Sus scrofa: one gene and its partner. The protein of the gene in region 2 purifies or fractionates together with the protein of the main gene of each other region. This does not show direct contact. Links are inferred from orthologs where the notes say so. Each region holds a gene or a part of one and is shown on either strand. Other genes may lie near its edges. The genes, in order: STX12 and VAMP5.

What was found.
Region 1: the proteins of VAMP5 (region 2) and STX12 purify together in Homo sapiens (affinity purification with mass spectrometry; 3 studies listed by BioGRID and IntAct, with this or other methods). This does not show direct contact. The link is inferred for Sus scrofa from reciprocal best matches to the Homo sapiens genes VAMP5 and STX12.

Annotation. Positions count from the first base shown.
Region 1 is NC_010448.4:84,917,461-84,921,835, forward strand, and holds the start of STX12 (syntaxin-12), read left to right. Parts: upstream 1-1,366; 5' UTR 1,367-1,496; coding exon 1,497-1,614; intron 1,615-4,375. UniProt on the Homo sapiens protein: SNARE promoting fusion of transport vesicles with target membranes. Together with SNARE STX6, promotes movement of vesicles from endosomes to the cell membrane, and may therefore function in the endocytic recycling pathway.
Region 2 is NC_010445.4:59,182,800-59,187,228, forward strand, and holds the start of VAMP5 (vesicle-associated membrane protein 5), read right to left. Parts: upstream 2,905-4,429; 5' UTR 2,428-2,904; coding exon 2,425-2,427; intron 1-2,424. UniProt on the Homo sapiens protein: May participate in trafficking events that are associated with myogenesis, such as myoblast fusion and/or GLUT4 trafficking.

The DNA of each region.
Region 1 (4,375 bases), on a different chromosome or scaffold from region 2:
TTTTTTTTGGTCATTTCTAAGGCCACACCAGTGGCATTTGGAGGTTTCCAGCCTAGGGGTCTAATTGGAGCTGTAGCTGCCGGCCATAGCCACAGCAACGCAGGATCTGAGCAGACCCTGTGACCTACGCCACAGCTCACGGCAGCACCAGATCCTTAACCCACTGAGTGGGGCCAGGGATCGAACCTGCAACCTCATGGTTCCTAGTCGGATTCGTTAACCACTGAGCCACACGGAAACTCCAAACTTCACTTTAAATAGAGTCAAATGTTAATGAAAACATTCTCAAGAAGATTTTATAGGTAAAAAAGTAAAATTTACATGATTTGCTATATGACATAAAACTATGGATTCTAAGAAATGGTAGGGTTTTAATAACCAGAATGAGAGCCCCTAAATGTCAAATGTCATCTGTCCTTTTCTAAAAAGAAAAAAACAAAACAAAACAAAACAAAAAACCTCTGTTACAAATGCTCTAACAGAAAATAGAGATAGCCTTGCTTACAAAAGTTCTAAGGCTGAATGCAGGCTCATTCACCCATTTGGGGTGTCCCCCCCAACTCAGGCAAGCAGCTTCCTGCCTTGGCTATTTCCCAGAGATAGTAAAGCAGACTTGGTGTGAGGTGCGGTGGAGAACACAGGAAACAAACACTGCCAGTTCGCCTTCACGTCTATCTTGATCTCCTCCCAAAGCAAAATCCTACCCCTGTATTTCCATTTATCATACGCTTACAAAATGCAGTCTTTTATGGGAACATTGAGGTCATTCACTCAAAATGCAAAAAAGGCAAAAAAAAAAAAAAAAAAAAAGAGAGAGAGAACAACTGAATTGCAGTGAGGGGTCACACATAATATGTGCTCAATAAATCTTACCATTATTATTATCGTTTTATTGTTTAGACTACGAGACTACAAGAGGGGTGGTAGAATGAGAGCGATTTGTAAACCATAAAAGTTCTCCACAAATCCTACCAAAGCCTTTGAGGCTGGAAGCAGAGTGAGGGATTTCAGGAGTTTGGTTACGCATCTGAGCTTCAAGGTTATCAAATTCTCCCATATTTGGGCCTGAAGTCTCAGAATAGAACAGAATAGGACGTTAGGGCTGAGATCATCTGGTACAATTTTATGCTAATCGAAAAATTCTTGCCTTCTTGTCACCGTGCCCTGGCGATAAACAACACCGCCACCCCAGATCCTCCAATCCGAGCCCCAAAGGTATGATGTCATCGCTCCGCCCTGCATCCCCAAGCCCCAGAGCGTCAGGTCTCCAAGCTACCCATCTCGGCACCAGTTCCAACAGCGCCTGCGCATTGTGGGGCCGGTCGGGTCGGGGACGGACGCGTGCGCGCCGCGAGGGGGCGGGGCTAGTGCGCACGCAGCTTCATCCCCTTCCCAGCCCTTTCTCTTCCCGGTTTCCCTGTCAGCCTGCGGGTCGGGTCTGGCGGCTGCTTCCGGTAGGAGCGCGGTGCAGGGCAAGTCGGTCTCGGCTCCTCGTCATGTCCTACGGTCCCCTAGACATGTACCGGAACCCGGGGGCCTCGGGGCCCCCGCTCCGGGACTTCAACAGCATCATCCAGACGTGCAGTGGCAACATCCAGCGGATCAGCCAAGCCAGTGAGCCGGGGTACCGGGCTGGGGGGCGGGGACCATCCTGGGGACAGGCCTGGGTGAGACTACCGGGACGCGGAGCCCGGCCAAGGCCACAGCCGAGGCCGTCTCGGGCCCTCCGCTCTGGGTGCGGCGGGCTGCCATCCTCGAGTCTGCCAGGCCCAGGCTCCCTGAGAGTCCCTAGCCCCAGCTGAAGCTCGAGTTTCTTCTCAAGAGTTTTGCCCTAAAGGTGTTGGGGCCAGGACTACAGTCCTGACAACTCCGGGGTGGGAGGGTGTATATGTGTCCTCTCCAGAGTACTAAGTGAGTCGACGTGGTGCAGTGGTCAGCCGAGTTTTTCCTGTCATCTGCCTCCCTCCACCCACCTCTCTTTCCTCTTTGGTCTGGGTCTGGAGTTGTTTACTGGTTTAGACTTTACTTTCTGCTCAGCTTCTGGCTTCTTGGACGTCAGCAGCTTTCAATTAAGGGAAGTGGAGAGTGCATATGTTTTGGTGATTTTAACCCAGTTCTTTCTGTAATGGATTTTGAAATCAGACACAATGACTTTAAGGGGTGAGATTCTGCTTTAATAAAGAGATTTCACCGAAAACATTTCAACTTACGTTGTCTTTGTAGCAAAAGATATGCATATATTTTTGGATTTCAAGCCAATGAGGGTTTTGTTTTCCTTCCCCATTTAGTTACTCTTTTGAACTAACATGAGACAGGCAAAGGGACTTAGTCTCCATCAGCTAGCAAGTAAGACATGGCAGAGTTGGTGGTGGATTTCAGAATGTCATTGCTTGTCTTAAAACTACACACCATCCAACATTAGGGTCTGAATGAGACTGCAGTTGAATGAGTCAAATACAAGCTATTTCTTGTGCCTGAAAATCAGCTCAGAACCTTGTAAACAAGAGGTCAGCAGCGACTATTTGGAAAGAATGGTATCATCATCATCCTTGTTTTTTATTGTGTTTTTGTGAGCTTGGTTGTCCTCTGTTAATAAGTAGAACTAGCTGGCCCTGAATTACAGTTATGTTCTATCTATCACTTTGCTTTAAATTTAAATGTATAATGTAGAATTTTGAGCTAGGGAAAGTTTCTGATGGAAAGCGTTTGAGCCTGGATGCTTGGAAAGTGGAAAGAAGAATATGTGGTCTATTAACTGCAGAAATTTCAAACAAAAATTAATATGACCACTGGTTAGAAAGTATAGTACTTTGTGTTCCAATTTCCTTTTGTGAGGGAGCCGTAGCCCAGATTAGATCAGAAAATTCTCGTTCAGGGCTGAAAGTTTCTTGTTGAGGCCAAATCTCATTTTAATGTCTATCTGTGAAATGTTCATTCTACTTCTGTTTGAGTATCAGGCATGTAGTATGTATAGGAACTGGCATGGGTTCTTTTAACAGGGAATCCGTGGCATACATAACAACCAAAATAAAAAGTTGAAAGAGATCAGTACTATAGAAGAAGTGTAATAAAATTATAGATATTCAGGAGAGAGACACCTTTTTCATTTGGGAGGGGCCGGGGGAGGTGTTTGGGCATTTGAGCTAGGTTTGGAAAGATGGTGGGAAGGATTTGAACTTTTGGCAGTTAAAGAAGAGAATAAAATGAACAAGGTGCAGTAGTGGGAAAGCGTGTGGTGTGTATAGAAAAGTAGAGTGATTTAATTTGGCTAGAATGGTGAATTCCAGAAAGTAGTGGAAAATAGGATTGGAAAGGTAAGTCGAGGCCCAAACATGGAGGACTGTAAGTGCTAAACTAAGGGGGCTTGGATTTAATTCTTTAGAAACATGTACATTGAGTTGGAAGGGAGCGACTGGAATCATGGACACCAGGTAGGAACTGAAAATGCAAAGAAGGAAGGAAAGGATAGGAGAGGTATCTTTGGTGATAGAATTGATAAAGTTTATCTGTTGATTAAGCAGGCATGAGGGGAGTTCCCATTGTGGCTCTGTGGTTAACGAACTAGTATCCATGATGATGTGCGTTTGATCCCTGGCCTTGCTCAGTGGGTTAATGATCTGGTGTTGCCATGAACTCTGGTGTAGGTCACAGACGTAGCTTGGATCTGGTAGTGTTATGGCTGTTGTGTAGGCCTGCAGCTGTAGCTCCAGTTCAGCCCTTAGCCCAGGATCTTCCATATGCTGCAGGTGCGGGCCTCAAGAAAAGTGGGCATCAGGCTCAAGTGGATAATTGAATTCAACTATTAATAACATTAATAACTGACATTTGAGTACATACTGTATGCCAGGTAATATAAGCTTTATAGGAGTTTCTGCTGTGGCTCAGCAGGTTAAGGACCTGATATCATCACTGTGAGGATTCAGGTTCAATCCCTGGCCTGGCTCAGTGGGCTAACGATCTGGTGTTGTTGCAAACTGTGGTCTAGGTCCTACGTGCAGCTCAGATCCAGTGTTGCCGTGGTTGTGGTATAGGTTGCAGCTGCAGCCTTAGTTCAACCCCTGGCCCAGGAACTTCCATATGCTGCAGGTGTGGCCATAAAAAGAAAAAAAAAAAAGTGCTTTACATGCATTATTTTACCTAATTTTGTAACAACCCCGTGAAACAATTACCAATATTACTTCTTTTTAAGGGGTTAGGAAACAAGCTGAGAAAAGTTAAATAATTACCCAGCTGGCAAATGGCAAAACATAAATTTGAAACCAGATCTGTGTCTTATGACCAGCATTTAGCCTTTTTATAGTTTTTAATTAATATTACAGTTTTGTAGCAGTTAACGCTTCAACAGGTTACAGGTGACTTTTTCTTTTCCTTCTTC
Region 2 (4,429 bases):
TTAAGTCACCGAACCAAGGTCACAGAGCCAGTGACAAGGAGATCTCAGAGTTGAATCAACTTCGACTCCAAGAATCACATTCTTAACCCCTATGCTGAACTGGATGCAGGTAAAGAAAGGCCAAATGCTTTAGCTGGCTGGCTAAAGACTCACCAGACCTTCTGATGCTGCCAGCTCAACTTGTGTGCATGTGAGTTTGGCTCAAAACTCAAATTCTTTGCACAGGGCCTGAGAGAGGACCATCTATGAGATGAATGATGTCAAGTCATTACTCATTAAATTTCTGTCTTTCCCATCAATATTTTCTTCCTACTCTGTTTCCTATGCCAGTCACCATGCCTGGCACAAAGAAAATGCCCAAGAAACACTTGTTATGTGAGTGAATCAGAGAAGAGGAGGAAAGAAGGGAAAGGAAGGAAAAGAAGGAAAAGTAGGCAAGGCAGATGTGAAGAAGGAAGGGAAAGTGCCGGGGGTTGACGAAGGGGCAGGAGTGAAAGAAAAAATAGGGGTGGGGGAGTGATGAACGGGGTGGGAGGGGCAGGAGGAGGTTGGAGTTGGCACATGCGCATTGAGATATATGGAATGATTGGTCAACAGGGACCTGCTATATAGCACAGAGAACTCTACCCAGTATTCTGTGATAATCTATGTGGGAAAAGAATCTTAATGAGAATGGATGTGTGTACAGGTATGACTGAATCACTTTTCTGTACAGCAGAAATTATCACAACCTTTTAAACCAACTATACTCCAATAAAACTTTAAAAACTGGAAGAAGAAGGAGTTCCCGTCATGGCGCAGTGGTTAATGAATCCTACTAGAAACCACGAGGTTGGGGGTTCGGTCCCTGCCCTTGCTCAGTGGGTTGACAATCCGGCGTTGCTGTGAGCTGTGGTGTAGGTTGCAGACACGGCTCGGATCCCGCGTTGCTGTGGCTCTGGCATAGGCCAGTGGATACAGCTCCGATTCGACCCCTAGCCTGGGAACCTCCATATGCCACGGGAGTGGCCCAAGAAATAGCAAAAAGACCAAAAACAAACAAACAAACAAAACAACAACAACAACAAAAAAAAAACCAAAAAACTGGAAGAAGAAGAAAAAAAAGAAAAAAAAAACAGAGGGAAGGAGCGAGGAGATGGATGGGAGACAGGCATCAGTGTACCCTCCCTGGGCTCAGATGCATCATTTCCTCAGATGAACCTGTGAGAGTCCCAGAGTTTTCCAGTACCTTCCAATAAATGATCTTAGTCTCAGCCTTGCAGAGTTTCCTCTTCTCTCCAAGTGCTTAAGGGTTAGCTGCAAGCCTACCCTAACCCTGCCTGATCCTTTGCTCCACCCGCTGGGAAGTGGGCTCTGGGGTCTGTCCTATTCTCCAGCCTCCCTCAGTTTCCTGGCGTGGCTGCAGAGCTCCACGCTACCTTCCTGCCCCGCTTCCTCTTCCTGCCTCCAGGTCCCTGGAGATGAGGCCATCCAGGCATCCAGACCCCCAGCCAGGCCACATCCATCACACCTCTGCTGGCTTTCCACGGGCAGAATCCCAGTACCCAGCCTGCTGGCGCCTGCCGGGGCCCAACTTCCAGGGAGTTCTAGCAGAGAGAAGCCTCCAGTACCACCTATTCTTGACACCTTAGCCTTGGAGAAGGCAAGTGGGAACAGAGGCCCAAGTCTACAGCAGGAGTGGGGGATGACTCAACTTAAGAATGTGTCCCTAGATAGGGGCTAGAAGCAAGTCAGGCTATGCCACCCCCTGATAACTTCAGTGGAACGCTTACAGTAAACATCTTCCTTTCTCTTTCCCCAGGGGGAGGAGTTTGCCTTCCAACACCCTGGCACAGGGGCTGGCATGGCCTCTACCACCCCATCTGCTCAGGTTTCCAAGCCCTGGGCCAGACTTGGCTCCTCACAGCTTCAGGAAGGGCTGAAGAGGTCATCATATTACCCACCACTTCTCAGGAGCAGGTTCTGAGTACCAGGCAGCTCTCTGCCACCGTCTCTCCTCTAACCTTCCGAGGACCCAGCAAGGCTGTCGGTATTGCTGACCCCACTTCACCATGCGGAAGAGGAGGCTCAGGGAGGCTAAGTGACTTGCCCGGGGTCACAGAGTGGGTAAGTGGCCACCAACAGGATCTCTGCCCGGAGTCTGACACCGAAGCCGGTGCTTGTAACCACTTGGCCCCCTCAAGTGGGAAGCCAGAGTCCCGTTCTCTTGGCGCGGAGCTGCGGGGACCCGCGCACGCCCCACTTTCCCTCCCGGGATGCGCGAGGTGAGCGGAGGGTCTGTTTTGGTCCTGCTCTGGCCGGCACTACCTCGCTGGGGGACCAGCGCGGGTTCCGGGAAGACGCCCGGGCCCTTGGACTTCGTTCTATCGCCTCGCACTCCCACGTCGCTCGCCCTCTGCCCGCCGCCCAGCCCCGGGCTCTCACCATCGTCGCTGCTGCCGCCACCTCGTCAGCTCCGGCTCCTCTGCCCTCAAGCGGCCGCGGTGCCAGGGACCAGGGAGGAAACGGAGGGCGGGGCCGGCTCGGCGGGGGGCGGGGGGCGCGCGATCCCTGCGCCGCGACCGTGACCAAGACAAATCGAAAGCGACCGGCGAAGGATTCTGGGCTCCGGGGCCGGTGCCTCTCCCTGCGCCGCCGCCGGCGCCCGGCCGCGAACGACTCCCCAGCCTCGTGAAGTGGGGGCTCTGCATGGACAGCCTGGTGCCAGGTCTACACCTCGGGGGCCCGCTGGAGTGGGCTCTGGAGTGGGCTCAAGGAGTCCTCTCTAGAGCTGCATCCCAGATCTGGTAGATCGGGTTGACCTGGGGAGGCATCATCATTTATTCATTCAACAGGAACCTGTAGGAGTGCCACTGCCCTGCCCTGTGCTAGGCGCTGCCCACCTTGATGAATGCAAATTACCCATCACCCTAAAAACGACCTCCTCAAAGTTTTGAAACCAAATAAATTTTATTCACAATAAATGGTATTAATACACTACCTGCCACTGGATTGTACATTATAAAACAGTCGATTGTATGTTTTGTGAATTTCACCTCAATCAAAAGAGAAAACAGAGAGCCCCTTCCCCAACCCTAGTTCTAGCTTTTTCTTTACTTCCCTTTCACCACGTGCTAAGTGCAACCCTGCCCTAATATGCCCCTGTTCCTCAATGGGAGGATGAGGGAGGTTGGTGTGTCCAGTCCTTCCAGAGCCTTCTTGAGCTGGATCCGTCCATCCTCAGCCTCTCCTTTCAGTGCTTCAGGGAAGCCACCTGCCACCTCTTCTCCACCGCACCCCTTGCCACCCCCAACATCTCAGAGGTGGCCCCTTTTAAGGAAGGAGGCTTAAAGTTCCCTCTCCCTGGATGAATCCCAGTGAACAAAGACCCCACCCCCACCCAGGACGGTGAGTCTGGGTTGCAATGGCTGAGGCTGCTCGGAGCTCCAGTCCAGGAGTGGACTGAGGACAGGGGATGGACATGGTTGTGACAAAGATCACAGCAAGGAGTTCCCGTTGTGGTTCAGCAGGTTAAGAACCCGACTAGTATCCATGATAATGCAGGTTCAATCCCTGGCCTCCCTCAGTGGGTTAAGTATCTGGCGTTGCCGTGGACTGTGGTGTAGGTCTCAGACATGGCTTGGATCCTGCGTGGCTGTGGCTGTGACGTAGGCCAGCAGGTCCAGCTCCAGCTCCAATTCAGCCCCTAGCCTGGAAACTCCCATATGCTGCAGATGCAGCCTTAAAAAAAAAGAAAAAAAAAAAAAAAAAAGACTGGGGTGGGGGTCTCATCTGTGCTTTCCTCCCTTCCTAGTTTTCAGAGCATGATTCTAGAACCCAACTTGCCAGTACTAAGTCTCAAATCCTGTCTCCCACCCCTGCCCTTCTGGACTCCCTCCCCCAAACAGGTTCAATTGTGGAACACCTATGGGGGAAACAAGGACAGAGATGATGAAAACCCTTCCCTCAAACCAAGGCAGACTGGGTACCGGAAAGAGTGACAATGACGATGGAACCTGGTAGGGAGGAGGGAGGCCCAAAGACAGAGAGGCCCATTGTCCGTCGAGGGGAAGGAAGGCCATAGGCCCTGTCCTGTGACACTGACTGTGCCCGGCCACGGGACACGCGTGAGATGCTTGCCCCCTCAGGACAGCTGAGACCCAGAGGCCCTGCTAAGCTCCAGGAGGGCAGGGGCAGACAAAAGACAAATGGAACTTGCAGAACCACAGGAGACGGAAAAGCAGTTCAGTTCCTCCAACACCCCGCACCCCACCTCCCACCTCTAGAGTACAATAGGGCCATGGAAGAGAAAGAGCACTGATGGGAGGGGCAGGAGGCCCTTAACCAGACGAAAGGGTCAGCCCAGGTAGGTTTCCCATCTCAGCTAACACTTCCCGCAGAAAAGTAACAAAGGAAATGGCAAGAGAGGGCCACTGGGAGTCTTACATAC